3 linked regions of the Astyanax mexicanus genome follow. The protein of the gene in region 1 interacts with the protein of each later gene in a biochemical or structural test. Links are inferred from orthologs where the notes say so. Each region holds a gene or a part of one and is shown in the gene's direction. Other genes may lie near its edges.

Evidence for each region.
Region 2: of the proteins of synphilin-1 (region 1) and prkn, one has a biochemical effect on the other in vitro, tested with the Homo sapiens proteins (3 studies listed by BioGRID). The link is inferred for Astyanax mexicanus from reciprocal best matches to the Homo sapiens genes SNCAIP and PRKN.
Region 3: the proteins of synphilin-1 (region 1) and siah1 form a complex in vitro, tested with the Homo sapiens proteins (2 studies listed by BioGRID, with this or other methods). The link is inferred for Astyanax mexicanus from reciprocal best matches to the Homo sapiens genes SNCAIP and SIAH1.

Annotation. Positions count from the first base shown.
Region 1 is NC_064419.1:36,793,613-36,800,805, reverse strand, and holds the start of synphilin-1, read left to right. Parts: upstream 1-4,137; 5' UTR 4,138-4,296; intron 4,297-7,193. Other genes in the region: protein-lysine 6-oxidase, read left to right, coding at 986-992. UniProt on the Homo sapiens protein: Isoform 2 inhibits the ubiquitin ligase activity of SIAH1 and inhibits proteasomal degradation of target proteins. Isoform 2 inhibits autoubiquitination and proteasomal degradation of SIAH1, and thereby increases cellular levels of SIAH.
Region 2 is NC_064414.1:19,273,402-19,280,794, forward strand, and holds the start of prkn (E3 ubiquitin-protein ligase parkin), read left to right. Parts: upstream 1-4,325; 5' UTR 4,326-4,890; coding exon 4,891-4,897; intron 4,898-7,393. UniProt on the Homo sapiens protein: Functions within a multiprotein E3 ubiquitin ligase complex, catalyzing the covalent attachment of ubiquitin moieties onto substrate proteins. Substrates include SYT11 and VDAC1.
Region 3 is NC_064416.1:23,271,675-23,279,711, forward strand, and holds the start of siah1 (E3 ubiquitin-protein ligase Siah1), read left to right. Parts: upstream 1-4,952; 5' UTR 4,953-5,846; coding exon 5,847-5,943; intron 5,944-7,012; coding exon 7,013-7,075; intron 7,076-8,037. UniProt on the Homo sapiens protein: E3 ubiquitin-protein ligase that mediates ubiquitination and subsequent proteasomal degradation of target proteins.

The DNA of each region.
Region 1 (7,193 bases):
CATGTAAACCCAGCATATTTTTATTATCTCATTAGCCATGTGCATGCAAATGCATCGATTGCATTACTGACAAAATCAGATTCTTCTGCAGAAATAAGATTATTCAGTGTATGTAAGTGCACTCAATGGAATTTACAATACAACATAGTTGCAAAACCAGATAGCTGAATAAATATCAGTTAGGTAATTTCTACATTTATGTTATACAGACAGAAGCCTAACATAAGGGCTCTGAGTGATCCACTATGATCAAGAGATCGCCAGTTCGAATCCTGTTCATGTAGCTTGCCATCGGTTACCGGAGTCCTGAGAGAGCACAATTGGCCTTGCTCTCTTTCTGGGTGGGTAGATGAAGCTCTCTCCCAACATCACTCCAAAGGCGTCTGTGAGCTGATGTATCAGAACTGAGTCGCTGCGCTTTCCTCCGAGTGCGCTGTGATGCTACTTGGCAATTCTGCATCAGCAGCAGTTTGAAAAGAGGTGGTGGCTGACTTTATATGTATCAGAGGAGGCATGTGCTAGTCTTCACCCTCCTGGTGTTGGTGCATCACTAGTGATAGGTGGAGTCCCAATGAGTGGGTTGGGTAATTGGCTGTGGAAATTGGGGAGAAAAAAGAAATAATACAGAAGCCTAAAATAAGACATATTTTAGGCTTCTGTATACTTTTTGGGTTTGAAACTAGTTTTGAATTAGTAGATCAACTTTTATTTTACATTGATTTTGCCTTATTTTGTAAAGTCACTTGTATTTTATTGGACAATGAAAATATACAGCATGTACTGCCATTGTTTTTTTGTGGAGAAAAAAGAAAGAAAAGGTTTTCTTTTAAACAAGGTGCGGTAGTGCCCTCTACTGTATTATACTAGAAATGCACAAACCGTACAGTTCAATGTATCTAAACAATTATCTAAATTATTATCCAATAAATCATCAAAATTAAGAAATTATCTAAATCAATATATCTATATCATTTTTCCTCTTCAGGTACTGATTCCATACGGATGCCCATCAGAAGTATCCACAGGAGAGGATGCCTTAAAGGAAAGGCAGTGGGAGAAATGCAGCCTACCTAAGATTGCCTCAACTATTTTGAATCAGTCCAATTCTACCAGCATTCTTACTTTAATATTGTGTTTAAATACATTGTAAACATTTAAATACATTGCAACACTTCGACAATAATTATGACTGTTTTAATACCACTTTCATTGCATGTGCTGCATGAAGTGCCTTAGTTGAAACTAATATCTGGTTTTTACAGATGGCATTTAATACCCTCTTGTTGCTGTAGAATAAAAGAAAAAAAAAAAAAACGGTGACATATTAACTAAAGCCTACTATATAACACTGACAAAACTGACAAATTATAAACATAGCATTACAGATGTCATATGCCGCCACAAACTACTTTTGTTTTGACGATATACATATTTTAATTAGATACACAATATTATCATCATTTTAAGATTATTTTTGTCCACCGGAATAAGGATAATATAATAGAATAATAACAATATTAAGATAAATTTTTGATTTTTGGTCATGTCCAAATATTGAATGATAAATCAATTATATAATAATTATCGAGACAGACCTACTGCCATGCATTGCCATGTCATATGGATTTCTTGAATAAAACAGTGGCATGCTACCATGGATTAATGAGTTAATATCATGTCACTGTTATATTACTAAACGTATTAATCTGTCTTGACAAAACGTTACAGCATATGACATATGTCCTGATATTGTTATGAATGGTCTGGCTATGTCAGTAATAGGTAGCAGGCTTTAAGTGAAGTGTTGCTAAGTAAACATAAGCTTTTTAGTGTTAGTGTGCTAATTGTCGCCATAAAGTTCTTAGACCTTTTTATTTCTTTTTTGCATTTTTTTTTCATGAGTAATTTTGGCTCTGTGTAATCCATAGACACTTTCTGTAAACTCTTTCGGTGTGAATTTTTGAAACTTTGAGTGATCATACATTTAGACCCATGTTCAAAAGCAGTGCTGTTTACTTTTTTTAAAAGATGTACATTACCTGTCATATATGCTTAGATTTTATATTTCTAATAAGAAATGGTGCTACTTACATTATTAATCACTGTAGTTCTGAGAGCCAAATATTAATTGAATAAAGACCATTGAATAAAATGAAAAAGATATAGAGATTTCCACACTCTATGGAATTCGTGGTTTATCAAATATAGTGTGTATAAAGGTTATTTACCTGTTGGGTGTTTTGCTTTAGCTAGTAAACACATAGCAACATCATAGCAACCAGCTCAGAACCACTTGGCAACACCATAGCAACCATCTGGGATACCTTAACGATGGATATTAACCATGTTTACTGAGCAACTATCCTGTGTTTTTTTCAGGAAATGCAGTTCATCATTTAGGCAAAGGTTTTTTGGACTCCAGCATTTAGCCAAAGCTTGTAATATAAAAGCTGGATAATGTCTGGTAGGCCAATTCACAGGTTACTTAGTATTTAGGATACAACTGCACTATAAATAAAAACTATTAAACAACTTTTAGAAAAAAGGGTTTAAACATTTTCTCAGTGAAGATGTATCAATATGACAAAAACTGTGTTATTGGGAACATACCAAACTAGCATGCACTTTGAACAATATCCACTAGAGTGCAGTACTGTAAAACAATATTTCTCAACCCCAGCCCTGGATGCACTCTGCACATTTTAGTGCTTTTCTGTGTACTGTTTATCCTGTATACAAACCCTCCATATATATCTTCAAATGAATTAGTATGAAGACACAATACATTGACCAGTACTACCAACTATGCCCACTGATAAAATGCAAACCTGCATCCTGGATTGCTGCAAAACTCAGATAGCAATTATCTGTGAGGTGAATATGTAAATTCTAAGAGGTTTGGTCATGTGGCCAATAAAATGCTTCCTCTGCTGCCCTACAAAAAAAGAATTCTCTCAGAGGTAGTGTACCTCTTGGTGAGAAATTGTTGACTCACTTAATTTGCCTAGAGGGGGCACATTATGGCACTGAGGGAAACAGGATGGTTGTTGAGAAATTTCCTGACATCTATAGGTGACCTATCCATCAGCCAGCCACAATCACTTTTTAGAATAGAAAAATACATTAAAACAATTAAAGGACATGTATGGAATTACATATCAACAAAAAAGTGTTTGTCCTCCACAATCCTCTGACCTAAACCTGATCATCTGAGATGGATGATTAGGGATGAGCTGGAGCTTCACAGCATGAAGGTAAAGTAGGAATTATTGTTTAGCACCTCCAGGAACTCTTTCAAGATGCTGGGAAACCTATCCCAGATGACTCTACCTTATGAAGACACTGATATTAAAATACCAAGAATATAAAGTATACAACATATTCTGCTTTGTTTAAACCTTTTTGTTGTACGATATAATTCTGTATGTGCTCCATAGCTTTAATGCCTTCACTATTAAATTTACATTGTAAAAAATCCTAAAAAAAAAAAAAGAAAAAAAATAAAAACACATTGAAAGAGAAGAGGAGTGTGTAAACTCTCATAGCTGGTACTGTACCTCAACTGTTCCTCAACTGTACTATACCTATTGTGGAGGTAACATCTAGAGGCTTTATTACCAATAGGGTTATATTAAATTGAGCCTCTTTTTAATTCTACAGTTTTTTTGTTTCCACCATAAATGCATTCTTTCACTCCTTTAATATTGTAATTACATATTATCATTACATTCATGCACATAAAGTTCTCTCTTTTTGGTGCCACTATTTCTTTTGTAATTTCTTTTTATTGTAGTTTTGTACATAATTATTTATTGCTCTATATTTACTAGCTATATGACTGTGTTTTGTATGAAGTGTATGAAGTGAAGCTTATTATTATTACCCTGTAATTGTAATTAATAGGCATTGGCCTGCTGGAGAGACTGGAAAACACATTGGACATGTTTTTCCAATTAACTTTCACAAGACACAAATTTTAAAAACAGCCAAAGCGTTAAATCACGGATTTGATGTCTGACAGCAGATGAAGAACTGTCAAGATGATAGAGGATGGTGGATGGACAGTGGAGTTTGGATCAGTGTGTGTGTGTGTGTGTGTGTGTGTGTGTGCGTGTGTGTGTACAGTATAACGGTGTCTGCAGTAGTAATGTATATCCGGTTTGGTAGGAATAAGCAGGAATAACGGAGCGCTGCTGCCTCCTCTCCTCCGTCTCACATTCCTGCTAACGCCAACGGACTGTTTCCCTAAAGGAACAGCTGGAGAACCGCGGGGGGAACACAGCACTAATATACAAGGTACTGCGGGCGAATATATGCTGTTTATATTAGTGAGGATGGAGGAGAATGGAGGGAAGGAGTCCGGGGCTGGGGCTGTATTTTTCCAGGCTTTAGCTCCTGGGTGAGAGTCGGTTCAGCTGGTCCAGCCCTCCGCTAAAGCTAACAGCTCCACCACAAACAATAGGGAGAGCCTCGCACGGCGGGGGCAGATGTTTTTTGGGCTGTTTTCTTCTTAGGATATCTTAGGACACGTTCACTGGGAAATGAGGAAAACATTTACAAAGTCTCTACTTTTTAAGCCTACTTAAATTAGGCAAGAGTCTGTTATTATCAGCCGTGTTGTTCATTTTTCCCATGGCTAGCTTTAGTTAGCTAATCTACGGTATATATAAATTGGCCATATATACTAAGCTAAGCTAAGCTAGCTAGGTTGCTACGTTGCTACTGATCCCTGGTTGCTAGGATGGGATGGCTAGCCGCTAGTTAGCTTAGCCACATTTAAAATAACAGGAGCTAGATAGTGTAGGCAACGTTATATATACATACATATAGCTAACGTAGGTTAGCAAGCTATCTAACTAACTAACCAACAGTTTCTCTGATTTTGCTATTTATAGGTATATGTTTGAGTAAAATAAACATTGTTGTTTTCTTCTATAAACTACTTACAACCTTTCTCCCAAATTCCAAATAAAAATATTGTCGTTTGGAGCATTTATTTGCAGAAAATGAGACATGGCTGAAATAAAAAAGGTGCAAAGACCTTTCAGACCTCAAACAATGCAACAAAAAGCAAGTTCATATTCATATACATAAAGTTTTAAGATTTCAGAAATCAATATTTGGTGGAACAACCCTGGTTTTTAATCACAGTTTTCATGCATATTGGCATTGTCTTCTCCACCAGTCTTTCACGCTGCTTTTGGATAACTTGGTGCCACTCCTGGTGCAAAACTTCAAGCAGTTCTGCTTGGTTTGATGGCTTGTGATCATTTATCGTCCTCTTGCTTATATTTTAGAGGTTTTCAATTTGGTAAAATTAAAGAAACTCATAATGTCTAAGTGGTCTCATATTTTTTTCCAGAGCTGTATTTATATGTGGGTCCTGTCCAGCGTTAATAATTCATAAACTGTCGTTTCCAGTTTTACAGTGCTGACCTGAAGCTAGCTAACCTAACTAGGTTAAATAACTACTGTAGATGTTGGCTTCAGTCATACATCCAGTGATTTCAGTTAGCTAGCTAACAACTAATTAGCTATCTATAATTAAGTAGTTAATTAGCCAGTTAATTAGTTATCTTAGCTAATTAGCTCAACAGATGCCAATACCATAACACTATGATATGTACACTATTCTGTAAAAACAGTGGTGCATAAAATATTTTAAACCATTTGCTGTAGTTTAGATATAGTGTTCAATATTTCTGCATATTTCGTCAGAATTCTACACAAATCCTAATGACCTATTGGAGAAAACAAAAAACGGCCTGTCATAATGTGGCCTGTGTTTTTATGGACAATGCCTTGTCGCAGAAATGATTGAGACCATTGTATATCACTTGTATAACAATAATATAAAATCACAATAATGTAATGGCACTCTTTTGAAGCATGATGAACTTTTGATTATTAATAATGTCCAGGCAACGACACTTGCTCTTTTATGGGGCTCACTAAGGAAAGAAAACCCAATATTGTTGTAATCAGTATCTGTTGCGACTCCCTTGTGCAGCAGTAACTGCAGCCAAACATTTCCGCTAACTGTTGATTAGTCCTGCATATCAGTAACCCATTTCCTCCTATGAACTTCTGGCTCCATGTCCTTCAACAACATTTCTATTGGATTAAGGTCAGGGCTTCAAATGATCCATTATTTTGTGCAACAACTTGTGTATTTAGGGTCGTTGTCTTGCTGCATGACCCACTTTCTCTTTAGGTTTAGCTCACCTGTCCTACAAACTAAATAGCCCTATATCCTAACCTGATCTCTAATCAGCTCAAAGGTGTTCATGACAAGTCAGCCTGTGCCTGTGATCTTCAGGTAATCTGTGTCTGTTGGCAGACCATGTTGTTTGCTCTTCTTGCTCTTAAAAGCTCTCAGTTCTGAGGGTGCCTTCACTTTTTTGTACTTCCCCTTTAAGGTTATAACCGTACTACATTACATTTTTTTTACATTACATTACATTACATTTGGCAGACGCTTTTGTCCAAAGCGACTTACAATATTGAAGTGCAAATAATAGAAGAGGTTAAGTACAAAAATAATAGAAGTTAAAAATAAAGCATCTATAGATAGGGCCTTAAGGAGGTCAGAGGGAAATAATGGGATAGAGGAGTAGAGAAGAGGAAGAAGGAGATGAGGTTAGAATTAGTTAGTTTGTTAGAGGTGTTAGGAGAGTAAGTGCTCTTTGAAGAGCTCTGTCTTCAGGAGTTTCTTAAAGATAGCGAGAGATTCTCCTGATCTGGTAGTGGAAGGTAGTTTGTTCCACCATTGGGGAACTCTGTATGAGAACAGTCTGGATTGCTTTGTGTGAGTGTTTGGCAAAGCGAGGCGATGTTCATTGGAGGAGCGCAGCGGCCGGGAGGTAGCGTAAGCCTTCAGGAGCGAGTGCAGGTAGGAAGGAGCCTGTACTGTCATCACCTTGTAGGCGATTGTAAGCACTTTGAATTTGATGCGAGCAGCAACCGGTAGCCAGTGGAGCTCATTGAGCAGCGGAGTGACATGTGCCCGTTTTGGTTGGTTGAAGACCAAACGTGCTGCTGCATTCTGAATCATCTGTAGTGGTTTTACTACACAGGCTGGGAGGCCAGTTAGTACGGCATTGCAGTAGTCGAGGCGTGAGATTACCACAGCTTGTACCAGGAGTTGGGTGGCCTGTTGCGTCAGAAACGGTCGAATTTTTCCGATGTTGTAA
Region 2 (7,393 bases), on another chromosome or scaffold:
TTTAAGTGCCTAATTATACCCTTCATCCACTCGCAAAAGTATCTGACATTTGAAATCAGAATAACACAATAATAATAATAATAATGCATACTGAAATTCTTAAAATCCGGCAGCACCCTTTTACAGCAAAATGATAATGTTCTATCAGGCTGACATTTCTACACCCACACTGAATCTACACAGGTTTTATATAAAGGTGACACCCTGTGGGACAGGCCAGAGCAAAAGGGGCAAATTAACCTAATTTTTGCTAAATTACTTTGGTCACTTTTTCCATTTGCTTTACCCAGAAAGGAAAATATCACTCCCAGAACATGGAGCGTAGGATCAACAATAAGACTAAATCACGCTCCATTGTTCTTAAAGTTATCTGTTTGTTTTTTTTTCAAAGCTATCAGTTATTTCTGGAAAAGCAAACGTCTGAAATTACAGTTACTCCCTGAAGGGAAAAGGCAAAAAGGGCCAAATATTATAATCTGCCATCTCGCTCATTAATATGCAAATTGAATCGTGTTTAGTCAATCATTTTACGGTGCAACTTAGGTTGTAATATGCCACATCATATTTGAAGAGATGCAGAAAACATTACATTGATGCTGTTTCAATTTGAATATTAATGAGGTTTACATCATTTACCGTTTCCACAGATTTAACAGGTCCATGCATTTATTAAAGGCTGCAGAGCCGACGTCTCCGCAAGACACACGCGCAAACAGGGCAAGCTGTTCTGGGACAGATCTAATCCTGCTTTCACGTGTTAAATCGCTTCATCTCTGAATGTGCTATTAAAATGTAAACACAGATCCTGCACACTGAAATCTGTATGACACTGTGAACCTTCTTTAATAAGATCTGGTAAGCCTAAAGCCTCAAAATGTGGGGTTTGCATTTAACAATGCACTGTGCACAATATACTTTTCTCTAAAGCATAAAAACCCACAGTGCTCACTATAATGTCTAAGGACCTGTATAGATTATATCTCACTGGTTTTATTTCCTGGATTGCAGGAAATAAAAAAATAATAAAATAAAAGTATTAAAAAATACCATCACAAAGAGTCCAACAATAAAAAGTATTATTGGGAAAATTCAGTATATTATCTATAGATCTTAGATAAAGAAACAGCCTTTTTAGGTACAGTCTAGCACATGTGCCATAGCCACCTGGCAAGTGATAAGCTTGTTTACTCAATTTCCCAGCTGTCTTCTAGAGCAACAGTTAGTCATCATTATCTATATTGTATATATGTCAAAAACAAATTTATTTCTTTATATTTTTATATTTTATAAGTAGACCACACTACACAACTTGGTGGGGAGAGTTAAGGGCTGCTCACTCAGTTTACACTCGGCTAGGTCATCAAAATCCGATTACATATTTACTCACTAAATATTAGAACATTTCACAATTAAAAGGCTTCCTGTCATTTAAATGGCACTTAAATTCTACGTTAAACAGTTTCTATAATTTTCAAGCAATAGAGAAATCTAGAAAATGACTTTTTAAGGTATGGGAATGAAAACCTAATGTGTGGGAATGAGATCCTAATGTGTGGAACGAGAAAATAAAGTCATAGCCAGGACTTAATAAGGCGTGGGAACGAGTTAATTCAATCGTAGCCATTAAGGCGTGGCCACAAGATCCTTTTGTTCCTAAACAAAGCAAGCAACTCTCAGGGGTTGTGCTCAATATAACTGCCCAAGGAAGGTAAACAGGTCTGAATACTTTCTGCGTCTGAGCCAATCAGTTTTTAGTATGAGAATTTAATGTGTCTTTTACTTAGATTTATGACATATCTCACTGCAAGAGACTCCAAAATACCACCATAATTAATTCCAAAATGAAAATGAAGAGAAACTTTTTTTTTTTTTTTTTTTTTACAAAATATTATACCTGGATTGGAGCTTTGAAGTAATTTTCAGTCTTCTTCATGGACATTAATTTAGTGAAATGAAAGCTGTATTATTTTCTGGCTAAGACTTAATTATCTCATTCCCACACCTAATAAGTTGTGGCCACACCATAGGATCTCATTCTCTTGGCTTAATAAGTCATAGCCATGCATTTTTGACACCATTATGACACCTTAGGGGTTCCGTGAAATCAACAATACTGCACTGTTCTTAAAACTGAACGTTCTACACTTGAAGTAAAGGAATCTGATGTAGTATATAAACAAATGTGTTCATTTACAATGTACTGTATACATGAGTCTATATACTGAAAACTGAGTAAAAAGTGAGGAAAAAAAATATTCCCAATTATTATTATTGTCAAGAAAGTGTTTAATCATTGGGGAAGCACCGATGTGGGAATTCTGGGCTCTATGCCGATATCCGATATCATACATGTAGATATCTGCCGATGCCAACGCCGATATACACATTTATAACTTACAGAGAGACTAAACACCCAGTATATTTTTATATCTTTAAAAGTAATAAAAAAATCAATGAATTTTAAAGTAGAGCAGCCAGTGCCGGCAAACTGTAGTAGTATGGCTAGCGTTGTTCGACACTAATCAGCCAATACTAATGTTTATATAAAAAAAAAACATTTATTATTGGCAGATACTTATATAATCTCAATATCATCATGCATCCTTATTATTTACACATGAAAAGTAGTATTGCACAATGTTCTGTGATATACTGTACACTCATCATCAAAAAAACTGTTGCAACCAGAGGGAATGAGTGGTCAGGTATGAACGTGGAAGGTAGTCAAGCAAGACAGTCATGGAGTGATTCAGAATGAAATCAACATCTCCATAAAAGTTGTCAGCAGAGGAAAGCATAAAGTGCTGTGGGATTTCATGGGAAAACACTGCACTGACTTGATAAAACACAGTGGATCAACACCAGCAGATGACATGTCTCTCCAAACCATCACTGATCATCAGTAAATTTTGCAATTAATTTGGAAATAAAGGAAGCAGAGTCTGGAGGAAGAGTGGAGAGACACAGTCCAAGCTGCTTGAGGTCTAGTGTGAAGTTTCTACAATCAGTGATGGTTTGGAGAGACATGTCATCTGCTGGTGTTGGTCCACTGTTTTACCATGAAATCCCACAGCACTTCATGCTTTCCTCTGCTGACAACTTTTATGGAGATGTGGATTTCATTTTCCAGCAGGACATGCCATACTGCCCACACTGCCAAAAGTACCAATTGGTCTTATATAATATTCTTATTTTCTTAACACTGATTTTGGGGGTTTCATTGGCTGTAGTCAACAATAAAAGTAATAAACCATTAAAATAGATCACTCTGTGTGTAATACATCTATATAATAGGAGTTTCACATTTTGAACAGAATTACTAAAAATAAATTATCTTTTCAATAATATTCTAATTTTTTGAGATATATATATTACAGCTCTGGAAAAAAATAAGAGACCACTTAAAAATAATGAGTTTCTTTGATTTTTACCAAAATTAAAACCTCTGGAATATAATCAAGAGGAAGATGGATGATCACAAGCCATCAAACCAAGCTAAACTAAGAGTGGCATATCCAAAAGCAGTGTGTAAGACTGGTGGAGGAGAACATGCTGAGATGCATGAAAACTATGATTAAAAACCAGGGTTATTCCACAAAATATTGATTTCTGAACTTTTAAAACTTCATGAATATGAACTTGTTTTCTTTACATTGTTTTAAGGTCTTAAAACTTATTTTTGGTTATTTCAGCCATTTCTCATTTTCTCCTCTAAATAAATAAATAAATGCTCTAACTGACAATTTTTTTATTTGGAATTTGGGATAAATGTTGTGCGTAGTTAATCGCATAAAACAATGATGTTCATTTCACTCAACCATATACCTATAAATAGCAAAATCTGAGAAAATGAACTGAAGTGGTCTCTTTTTTTTCTTTTTTTCCAGAGCTGTATATATTCAATCCCTGTCTTTAATAAAAATGTAATATAACAGTATGAATGGGATTTTTTACAAATGTGCTATTTTGCACTGTGTATATTTATTCTGCCACTGGTTAAATAATAAATTACTATTAAATATATTAACAAGGCAAAATATAGCTTAGCTTAGCTGTATCTGTTTCTGTGTGTTTTAAGCTAACGCTGCTGCTGCTGCTGAAGCGGTTCACTGAGCATCACAGCATCAGTGGAAACCCCACCAAAACAGCAGCCGAACACACACACACCTCCTCCCCCTGCATCAGTGAAAACACACACACGCAACACACAAGCTCTCATTCAGCAGCTTTACTGTCATTTCTAACGTGTAAAATCTCTGTACAGCGCTAACACACGGCTCTGAGCGCGCCTGTGAGGGTGTGAATACTCTGCAGTCTTACATAACTATCAACAGCGTCACTCCGCGCCAGCTGACCCGCTAAACAGTCGCTCCGCGGGGCTTCATGGCCGAACTGAACCGCACCAACACCGGACACTCCCTGCATCATTCCCCGGGTACTGGACGCGATTAAAACCGGAGCTTCAGTCACAAAATCCACATAAATAAGAGGTTAAACAGCGCGTTAGCACCATCTGTTCGCTGCACAGTTCTCCATATCCACAGTTCCGTCAACACACCGAGCGCTGAACGGCACTAGCGGAAATGTAGTGTCTCTCCACATAACTCCCTCTCTTATTTACTTTGTTTAACCTCAATAAATGCTTCTATTTAATCACAAAACATAGAAAACAATAGGTAATTTATATGCTATGACTTGGGATACCTATATTTGCGTGTAAGTCACTTGATCTGTCAGAGTAAACTATGTTCTGGACTCCATTTCCCAGACTCCCCCGCGGTCTCGTACACGCTCAGTATCATGGTTGAACAGTGTTGTGAATAAAGTCACCCTGTGCTGGAGTTGAGCTGAGCGGAATGAGACTCTGCTGCTGCTGAACGAGTCCTCATAATGATCGGTAAGTCATAACTGAAATTCAGCGTGTTTGTGTTTTGTGAGCGCGGTCGGCTGTGTGTCCCGCGCGCTGGAGTTTTATAAAGCTGTGTTTGTGTTGTGTTTGTAGCACAGCCGCTGCCCGGTCGAGTCTATAAACAAAGTGAAGTTAATTATTTTACTACAGCCAGGTAGGATTATCGTGTTCAGGTCAGGACAGGAATGCTAAAACAGCGTTTACTGATAAAACGCCCCCAAAAGTCAGTATAAACACTGTAGGTGCGCTGGGTCGTTGACATTTGGAGCCCGAGTCTCGCGAGACTTTGAGGAAAGACTTTGAACCAAAGGAGAAAAAGCTTATGCTCTTTATGCTTATTTTTACCTGCTTAATCTGTATTTCAGTACATTTTATAAAAAACAACAACTATACTTTATTTGGCTGTGCTAATTGTGTACTAGTGATGTAACTTACTAAATAAAAATATATGCTTAGTATTATTTTATGAAACTGTGCTTTTTTTATTAAAATTAATAAAATTAATAAACATTTTTTATAAAACTGCTTTTACTTAATTTGTTCTCTGAGCCTAAATTTCTGCAACAAAACTGTACTTCAGTGAAATTTGCTACTAAAACATTAATTTTGTGTTGACAAATTAAAAACTCATACTGAACTTTTATGTGATAAAATTGTCCTTAAAAAGTTTACATTGTTTTGCACTATAAGGCGCACTTAAAATTTTTCAATTTCCCCAAAATCGTCAGCGCAACTTATACTTTGTGCACCTTATGTATGAAATTTTCAGTCAGGTTGTAAGGAGCAGTAAAGCCACCCCGCTGAAGCACAGCTTTATACAGGAGTTTTAGGCTGTGACCGAAATGGCTCACTATTTACTAGTTAGGGCACTATTGAGTGTATCAGCCATTTTTCTTAAATCGTAAGGGGGAATTCGAACGTAATTTTGAGGGCACTAAAAACTCCCATAATGCATCTTGATTTATAGTAAACATCGCTTCTTACTAAGCGAGTTAAATGTGTCCAAAAATGCATTGCGGGTCTCGATACTAAGCAACAGACAGCCGAAGAAACTGAGAGGACAGCGAGCCACCACGGTTGCCAGATTGTTACAGTGGGATTCAGATAAAACAAATTCACTGGGTAAAACGTGTTTTAAATCCGCCAAAATACTGAGAAAACCACCCAAACAGCTGATGTTCTTCATATCAACAATATAACAGGGTTTATTCCAACATGATCTTAAATAAAATACCTGAGGTCTCACTTATTACAAAAAAAAAAAAACGATATTTAACTGAGTTTATCTGCATGTTTGTATTCTGTGTTTTGTGCCTTGTATCATTGGACACACGAACCAAAAAAAGAAGTATAGTACATAAAAATAAGCTTGCAAGCAATGAAAGAAGTAAATACTCACATATAATAACAAGCATAAACACAGCTTCAAATCAGCAGGACTAAAAGCTCTGTCTGTCTCTGCCAGGTTAGATTTTTAACTACAGCACTGGTGAGTTCAATTCCCAAACTCTTAGTACAGCATTTCCTCCATAGAATTTCAGACACAACTCGACCTTTGGCATGAAACCACCCAATCTGGCAACACCCGAGCCGATGTATTCTGTTAATTTCAGGTTTTCTTCATGTAATTCAATAATGTGAGGATTATCTTTTAAACAGTGTAAATATACAGGCAGAGAAATGACTTCATGATCAGCTCAGAGCTTCACTAACTTTAATTCATAGATCAGTTCAGTGTGTTTATGGAGTTTTAAACATGACTCAACCCTCTCTCACCTGTGTGTGTGTTTATGCGACCGGTGCTGGGGCATGATAATAAGTTAGTGTCCGAATTCACTCCTGTTTTACCACTACTTAGTGAACTACATAGTGTCTCCCTAAATAGCGCAACACTAATGAGGGAGTAGGGAGCCATTTCGGTCACAGCCTTAGTTTAGTTCTCTGGAGCAGTATTAGCATTAGCCGCTACACTTGCTGAGTGCTAGCTCTTTGGCCGTTCAGAGTTGAGTATTATCGGCCTGTAGCCTGCTGCTAACGCTGGATACCACTGCTGGAGCAGCATCAGCATTACCTGCGAACCACAGCTCTAGCACTTTTGCCGTTCAGATGGGAGTAAACTGGACTGTAGCCTGCACGTTAACCGTATTAAAACAAACTACGTGGAACAAACCGCTAGCTGATATCGCCCTGTCTTACTGGAGCACTCTGGGTTCCTCAGTGTAGCGCTGTCAGGTGGCATTAGCCGCTAACCGCTAATTCTCCAGCTTTTGTGGAAACCTGGAAATTTAAGCTTACTGTAAATAAACGGAACCACTTTACTCACCCAAATAAACAGTTTTTAGCAGAGAAATTTGTTTAGATTAACATGCAGCACTTGTTTGCTTGAATTTTTTTTTCCTTTTTAATTAGTTTTGTTTACTTAGCTTAGCTTTACAGGTCTCACCTCCCAGTGGGCAGACCTGCCGTTTTCAAATAATGCGGCTC
Region 3 (8,037 bases), on another chromosome or scaffold:
ATGCCTCGTTGCCGGCTGTTTCCAGGATAGTTGATACATGAGACCCTCAGAAGAGATTGAGGAGTATTGACCTGGACCCTTACCACAACTACTACATCAATATCTGTGGCCTCTTTCTCCTGTAACAGAGTTTCAGTTTAGCAAGTAACATGGTAGCAGAAGTCTGTGTAAACCAGAATAATAAACAAGCTCATGTTGGTGGTTAGAAACCTACAGGTAAGCTTTGTTAATGCTTGTTATCAAGGCGCATTATTGTAGGTTTATTCCACTTTTTAAGTGGGAAGTAACATAGGGCTCAACAGTAGGGCCTAAGTTTCTTGTATATGATCACAATATATATATATATTTTTATTTCAGCCCGTACAATTTAATTCTGATATCTTTATGACCAACATAAAAGCCACATAAAACTACCAGGAATGCCCACAAACGATGTCTGTACCTACAAAATTATGATAAATGAATTTGGATGTCTGTATTGTGTAATTATTTTACATCTGTACATGAAAAATAACATGAATCGTTATAGTGCATTGATTATCCAATATTTGTTTATCTTCCATTTGTCCCCCATGCTTCCAAAACCATGCTGGGGAGATATTCAGCCCTGTCATATCTAAACTCTGGAATTATGTCTGGTATGTAGAGATTACTCAATGAGCAATTTAGACCTAATACTGATTACATATTGATGTAATCAAATGTATGAAGTTATAAACACAATGATGACATGTATCTTGCTTTTTGGAGTTTGTATGGCTGTTGGGGGTGTGCTATATCATACAGTGCACAATAATATCAGCAACATATTTGAAATGATTAAATCACATCAGGATATTCGTGTCTTTCTTGAAAGAAGTGTTTTTTGTGGTTGTTTTCTATTTAACCTATATACTTTTAATTGTTTGCACTTTAAATGCATGCACTTTTGTTATTACATTTATTTTTTGATTTTTTACACTTATCATATTATACAAAATTATGAAACTGCAATATTTTAGCAAATTAAAACTAGTAGGTTTGTAACAGTAGTATATTTTCGAATTAAATGCAATGCTTTGCAATGCAATGCTTGTCTCAGGAATATTATTATTGTTGATGAATATTGTGATCTATTAGTTTATGGCCATATTTCCCACCTCTAATGGCTGTATTAGCTATATAAACACAAATATGGTTTGGACCATGTATTATGGTTTGCCAGTATTTAGCATCAAGGTTTAAATTGAGTGCAAAAAAAACTGCATGCAGACAAACTGCAGTATTCATTTCTAAGAGTAAAATTAGTCTCTGTTAATTGGGTTTGGTGCAGTTTGTGAAACGTTTGAATAAGAGTCATTTAAGTATTGTGAGGTGTGCTCATTTATGCTTGATCACCCTATTTTAGGCTTTTTAGCACAGTGTTGTGGCTAGTCAGAAATGTGTATTTGTACAGGGTTGTGAATGTAAAAGGGGTTAGTTTGTTCTTTGTGGCAAAAGGGCAGAAAAAGGCCATCTGTTTTGATGGCTTGGTCCACAACCATTTTGTCACTTGAAAACAATGGCATTGATTAGGGGCTTTAATGTGAAAGTGTTTGCTCTGTCACCAAGGCGTGTTCTCCAGTAGTGATTAGTGAAAGAACTTTCCACTGGGAACCTGTTTTGCATCCTGCTGCTGACTGAAGTCCAGCTCATGCGTCCTGCTTCTGCCAAGAGTTTGAGCGACTCCATGTAAATGTTGTGCCAGGAAAATCACACATAGATGTAAATGCTGTCCTGTGTCCTTTTGGCCTTTTTTTGTTTATTGTGTAGCGTGTTAAGTTGTTTCAAGCTAATGTAACTTGCTCTGTATGTCAAATCCTTTTTTTTTTTTTTTTTGTTCAATTTAATCGATAGTGGTAGTGGGCTTACACTTCTGCCCACAGCACAGCAGACTGTGGTTCGATTCCCTGCTTGAGCCAGAACACCACACTTCACTAATAAGCCCCTGGGCTTTGATAAATCAATAATACTTTCAGTTCATTTCTTTGAGACATCCCCCTGCCTTTTCAGTTCAAGGGGAAGACTACAACTGGATTCACTTACACAGTTAAATAGTTAAATAAGTCATAACCTTAGTCTGCAAGATGCACAAATGTAATTATGAAAGATTATTGATTAATCAGTATTTTTGTGGCAATACCAATCGTCTTTCAGTTCAGTCCGTCAAATCCTGATACCAATTGAGGGGGAATGCAGGATTTCACATTTTACCTAGACACACTTAATAATAGTGCATCATTGTGCCGGGCTTCTGTAATGTTCTGTGCACTGCCTCTTAAAAAGACATGGTTTAATTTTGGCATCAACTACTTATAAAAAGCTGTAGAAATCCCATGCAGAACTATATTGTGCAGAACTGCACTGTGGAGCTTAATATGAAAAAACAACCAGAAACATTTTTGCTAAAATCTCAATTACTTTGGACTAAATTCCTTTAGTTTGGTGATACTTTGCTGCTGTAGTATTGGTTGTGGTTAAATGTCATCTGCACAGTTTTCTGTTTTGTGTGATTAGCAGTGTTTGGTTAGTTCTACGATCGTGTGATGCCCACCATATGAGTATTCGTGATGTACACTGTGTGTATCCGGTTAGTGGTTTTAAGTGTTTTCTCTGCTTCTTACATGAGGAATGTTAGTTTATCACGCTCTACAAATGTGAGTTTAAGTCAGTTTAAGGGTAGTCAGTTGTAAAAACATTTATAGACTATATATCAACTATATATTGTTTTGTGAATTCTGAGTTTCTCTTCTCTACTTGAATGGAAGAAGTGTTGAGTGGAATTTAGAGTTGTTTATGACATTTATTCCAGTATTCTTTCAGTTTATTTGTTGAAAATGTGCTCCTGGTTTTCTGCTCTGGTTTCATTGATGAAAAGGTGAGTCTGTAAAAGCCATGAGTCATGCTCAGTAATGAAAAGGGTCTGTATTTACTCTGTATATATTTAAGCTTCCTGCTGTTGGATCAGCTCGTAGATGAGTAATCTTGCTCTCAGGAATTTATTAAATGTGTTTCTCTGTTGTGTTTCTAGCGAGATTATTGTGGGTTTTGTTTTTGCGACCTGGTTGAATGAGCTGCGGTGGCACGATGCCTTTGCATCTACCCTGTGTAAAGGTGAAACTTGAAACACAAAGGGTAATCACATGGCCATTGACTTTTCAAGAGAGCAATCTGTTTTGTTAGGCTTGCTGTGTCATTAAGTCTTAGGTAGAGCCAAAACATCATTGTTGTATCAGTTCTTGCGCTCATTGGGTGGCTGAGAAGGATGAGTGAATTTTCTCTTTTGAAAGTCTTCATAAAGGCTATCCCCCCTGCCCTTTTTGTGAATTTGATCTGAGCACATGTACATTATGTGAAGCTACTGAGAAAGTTCAGTAGAATGATGATAAGCATTAGCATAAGCTTTAGCAGATGAAATATCAGACCTGAGGTTTCTTCTGTTGGGTATTTGGATAGTACCAGGTGGGCTCAAATGTCAAATAAGCCAATCAAAGCCCTTAAATGTCTGCTGCTGTTTTTACTTCACTGTACAAGGCATCTGTGGTATTAGCTGGTGCTCTATATGCTGTAAGGTCACTTTACTTATTGTACTTACGCTAACTGTAAGTGTTTGGTATACAACATGCTTGTGGTGAATTGAAGATGTCTTAAAGGCACTTGAAGTGGTTGACTTACTTCATTCACACAACATTTTTGATCAGTGTAAAAAAGACAACATAAAACATAGATATGGTTGTCTAGTTTGTTGTGGGTTTGTGGTTTGTTTGTCTGTGGCTAGGGGTTAATGTAAGCACGAAAATCATGACATAAAAGCTTACAAGCAAAAACTGTGACGGATTGCAAGATTAGTTCATCAGTTGCAGCAACAGGTATGTCAGACTATGCCATTCTGTCTAAAAAAAGTTATTGGTTTGGAATATGAGGGAAGTGAAACCAGTCAAACATAGATCTGTTTTTAGCTTTAAACTATTTTTGCCTTCTCCTGTAAAGAGTTTTCATTGTCTGGGTAATTGCAAGGTATTTCTGTTGGCCTATGATACACCAAATATTTGTGAACTTCCCTTTTAAATGAAATCAGCAAATATCTCTCAGTTCCTCACATTGCATGCGCTTACAATTTGTCTAGTCCCTGTAAGAAATTACTGCCAATATAATAGGGCTCCTTGGAGGTGGACCTGTTTGTACCTTGCTCAAAGCCAGGCATTGGCAAGAGGGTTATAAAGCACCCCAATCATGTAGCGCTGTGGAGCAGTGAAAATGTTTTTTCAGGAATTATGTCATTCTATCCAGTACTTTTGGTGATTTTGGGTGCATTTGGTATGTGGTGTTCATCAAACATCCTGCTACAGTTACTTAACAGACAGGAATTAACCCTAGTCTTGGACTAAACAGCATTTTGAGTTAAGATTTTCCATCAAAAAGAAAGTCTGGTTTTTATTTGAAAAACTGAACCTCTAAAATTAGCAGTGCTCTTGTATCTGAATTAAATCCAGTTGTCACAGGGATGCTCCAGAATCTGGAGTAGAAAGGCTTTCCTGGACAGTAGAAGTTACAGTAAATACTCAAACACAAGCAGGATAAAGTCTCAGGATTTCTTTTTTGTACTAAAGTACTTAATATAAAAAAAACATGAATGAACATGTGTCCCAATACTGTCATCCATGTATTAAATCTTTTTTTTAGATAATTTCCTGCTTGATAAAGCAATACAAATTCTTGTTACAAGGCTGTTCGCTTTGAAGTTTTTGTTTTGCAAATTAGGAGTAAGTGAAACTTGTCGTTCCCTTACTGCTCTCCTGCTGTGCCCTCTTCTGTAGGTTTTGGTGTAGTGCTGCTGTATTGTAATGTCTCTTTGTCTGAACCGCATGGTTGGAGGAGGAGGAGCTGTGTGTAATCTGACACGAGGCAGACCCAAGAGCAGGCCCTACTCCTTCTCTTCAGGAGAGAGGGTGAGAGACACTCGCACACAGGGGGAGTGAGCCAGCATGCTGACTTCAGCCTGACATTCGACTCCTGAGCCCACAGGCTGCAGTGGCAAAAGTGCAGGCAGGCAGCACTCTGCGTTCTTTCGCTCTCTCTGATTCTTTGCTGAGAGTAGTTTGCTCTGTTTGACCTTAGGGAGTTTGCTCTGCTCTTCTCTTCTGTATCGCTTCTGGAGTTCTCACTGGATTCTTCAGCAGGCTGTGGGAGTGGTCCCTCACACTGGCGCTGGAATGCATTCGTAGACAAGGGGGGAAACTTGCCTCTGCGTTCTTGTTGTTTTTCTCTCTTCCTCTCATTTTCCCTTTTTCTCCCTCTCTCCTTGGGCTCCATCTCAAAGGAACTTCCTGACTACTACTTGAAGCTGGACACACTTGTGTAACATTCATGGATTACAGTGCCTATTTTTTGGGGTTTTTGTTTTTTGAATATTAATCTTTTTTTTTTTTTTTTCTACCCCTTGTGTGTGTGTGTGTGTGTATGTGAGTGTGTTTCCTGGGTTGCACTCTAAAGAGGATTTTTTTTCTCACCCCCTCTGTAAGACTCCTGTAAGTCTCCTGCACAGTGGTCAGTGTACAATCACTTGGATTATTTGTGTGCCTGTGAGTATATGAGAGAAACTGTGTAAGTGGTCAGTCAGGCCTCTGTGCACCCTCTGTCCTTCATGTGTTCAGGGGGTCTCCATGAGTGGACCTAACACCTAACAACCATTTGGAGGAGTATTTTCAGCTGGCCTTGTGTTGGGAGGGAGAGAGGAAGCAGTTTCAGAGACTGGACTGAAGGGGCCCTCTGTTATGGGCTGTTTTGTTTCTATGGAAGGAGCGCAATGAAGAGTCCCTCAGCTCCCCATGTCGCCCACTGTTAGGCTGCAGCCCGTCTACTCATGGAAGGGGGTTCTCAAGCTCTTCACATGCATAGCTGCCCGAACGGCCAGCAAGCCTAAAGGTAACACAAGCCCACCGCTGTACTTGCTGACTCCTATCTCTCCACCTGCGTCACATAGCCTGTTTGGAATGTTGTCAGTTCATGCATCTCTCACGCACACAGCCTACACACCAGACGTGGGCTTTGTGTGCGTATATGAATAGGGTGAAACCCCTTCACAGGAGCTTTGTTCGCTTCTGACCTCTGTTTAAATTCCATGATTGTTGTGTGTATGTGTGAGTGTGTGCACGAGACTGAGAGACGCTGTAGAGGACAAAGCATGGAAGTTTTCTGTTTTGAAGAAAACACTCTTATTTGTGTTTGGCCCAAGATTCCAGACTTAGTTCTGCAGTGTGTGTGTGTGTATATATGTGTATATGTTTGTGGTACTTGGGTAGGAAGGGAGGTACAGCTTGGAAGAAAACATGAGCGTCCTGTAAAGTATGGGTTTATAAATGTGGCATTATCCTGTGTGTGTGTTTTGTAAATGTGTGTTTAATAGTAAACCGTTAAATGTCTTGTCAGGCTATACAGTCTGGACAGGCTGGGGCACGCCTGGCCACCCAGGCAACACTGACTCAAAGACTGGACTGGAGTATTGCATGCTTCTCTGTGAACCGCAGAGTGCAGTCATCTCCACTGGTTGTTTTCCTTCACTTTGCTACAGTATGCTTTATCTCAGGGCTGTAGATTTAAAACATACACAAAGCATTAAACTGCAGCATCAACAATCAGAGAACAGTTATATATCTGAAGTTATAAGCTGTGAAAGTTGGTCATCAGTGTACTTTCCATTCCTTGTGGTCATTTTGATATTGTGAGTTGACCACAATAGCTTAAACTTTGATTTGTTAAAAGTCTGATTTCAGTTCTGTTTGTAAGGTCTTGAAATATTAAAGCTGGGCACTGATCTAAGGAATGGAAAATAGGCAGGGAAGAAATCCATGTTAAGGCCCTAACCCATATTTTCCTGTGAATTAGTGTTTATACTACAAAGGGAGGATGTGGGTGTTTTTTTGCATAGCTTTAGGTACAGACAAAAAAACTAGTTTGACCCTCAAATGAGCTCTGTGACTTTTTCTATCACTAGATGGTACACTAGAGCACCATACACTAGAGCACCAGCATCTCAGACCAAAACAAGTATCTCTGGGTAAGAAAAAGTTAGCATCTCTGTTGTGATTCCTGTATTTGTCTTGACTGCTTCAGTGCAGCTGCTGTCCTGTTCTAACTCTGCTGAACCCAGTTGTTACCATTGCTGGTGGCATCGCTACTCCAACCTTGATGAGCTTGGCTTTCTGCATTGCTACAAACTTTCTTTAAACCATGTGGACCCTGGTTGCTGTTTATGGTAACATTGAAGTTCTAGTACTGCTATGCCCAGCTGTTAGTGTCACGGCTAACCCTCGCCTACCCTACTGAGCTAGGCTGTTAGCATCACAACTAACCTGTGCATTCTGTCTGCTGTTCTTGGTAGCATTGCAGCTCTAGCCCTGCTGAGCCTGGCTGTTATCATTGCAGCTAATCTGCCCCAGACATTTGGATTCCTACATATTGTTTGAGATGGAATATTTGCAGGAATATTTGGACAATAGCTTCACCTAAGTGTTCAGTACTAAACTCTGCTAGGGGCGTGCCATATCATATTGTACACAAATATTGCTAACATTTTTGAATATTGTGAACGATATTATATCCTGAAATATTGTGCCATATCACCCACCCCTTAGTTTTTGCATCAGGGTACTATTTGTTTTTGCTGTTTTTAGCAAAAGTATAATTCACTCTTCTGATTTGGAGTGCATTATTACTATCATGACATTTTGGATAATTTCTTCTGTTACAAATCTGATAAAATTCATTTTATTTTGTGGTGTTCCATATATGGTATAGTGAAGTTAAATTTTCTTTATGTTGCAGTAGTGTATTTATGAATTGATGTATATTGTTTTTTATTCAATGTTTTGTCATATTGTTGAGTACAGTTTTCGCAAAAATACCATGAAATATCATATGTTAGGGCCCTAGTGTATGCGGTTGAACAGAAACACCATTGAGATTTGTTGTTTGCTGCTATATTAATGTTTAAAATGTCATATTTTGAACTTTTAGAAA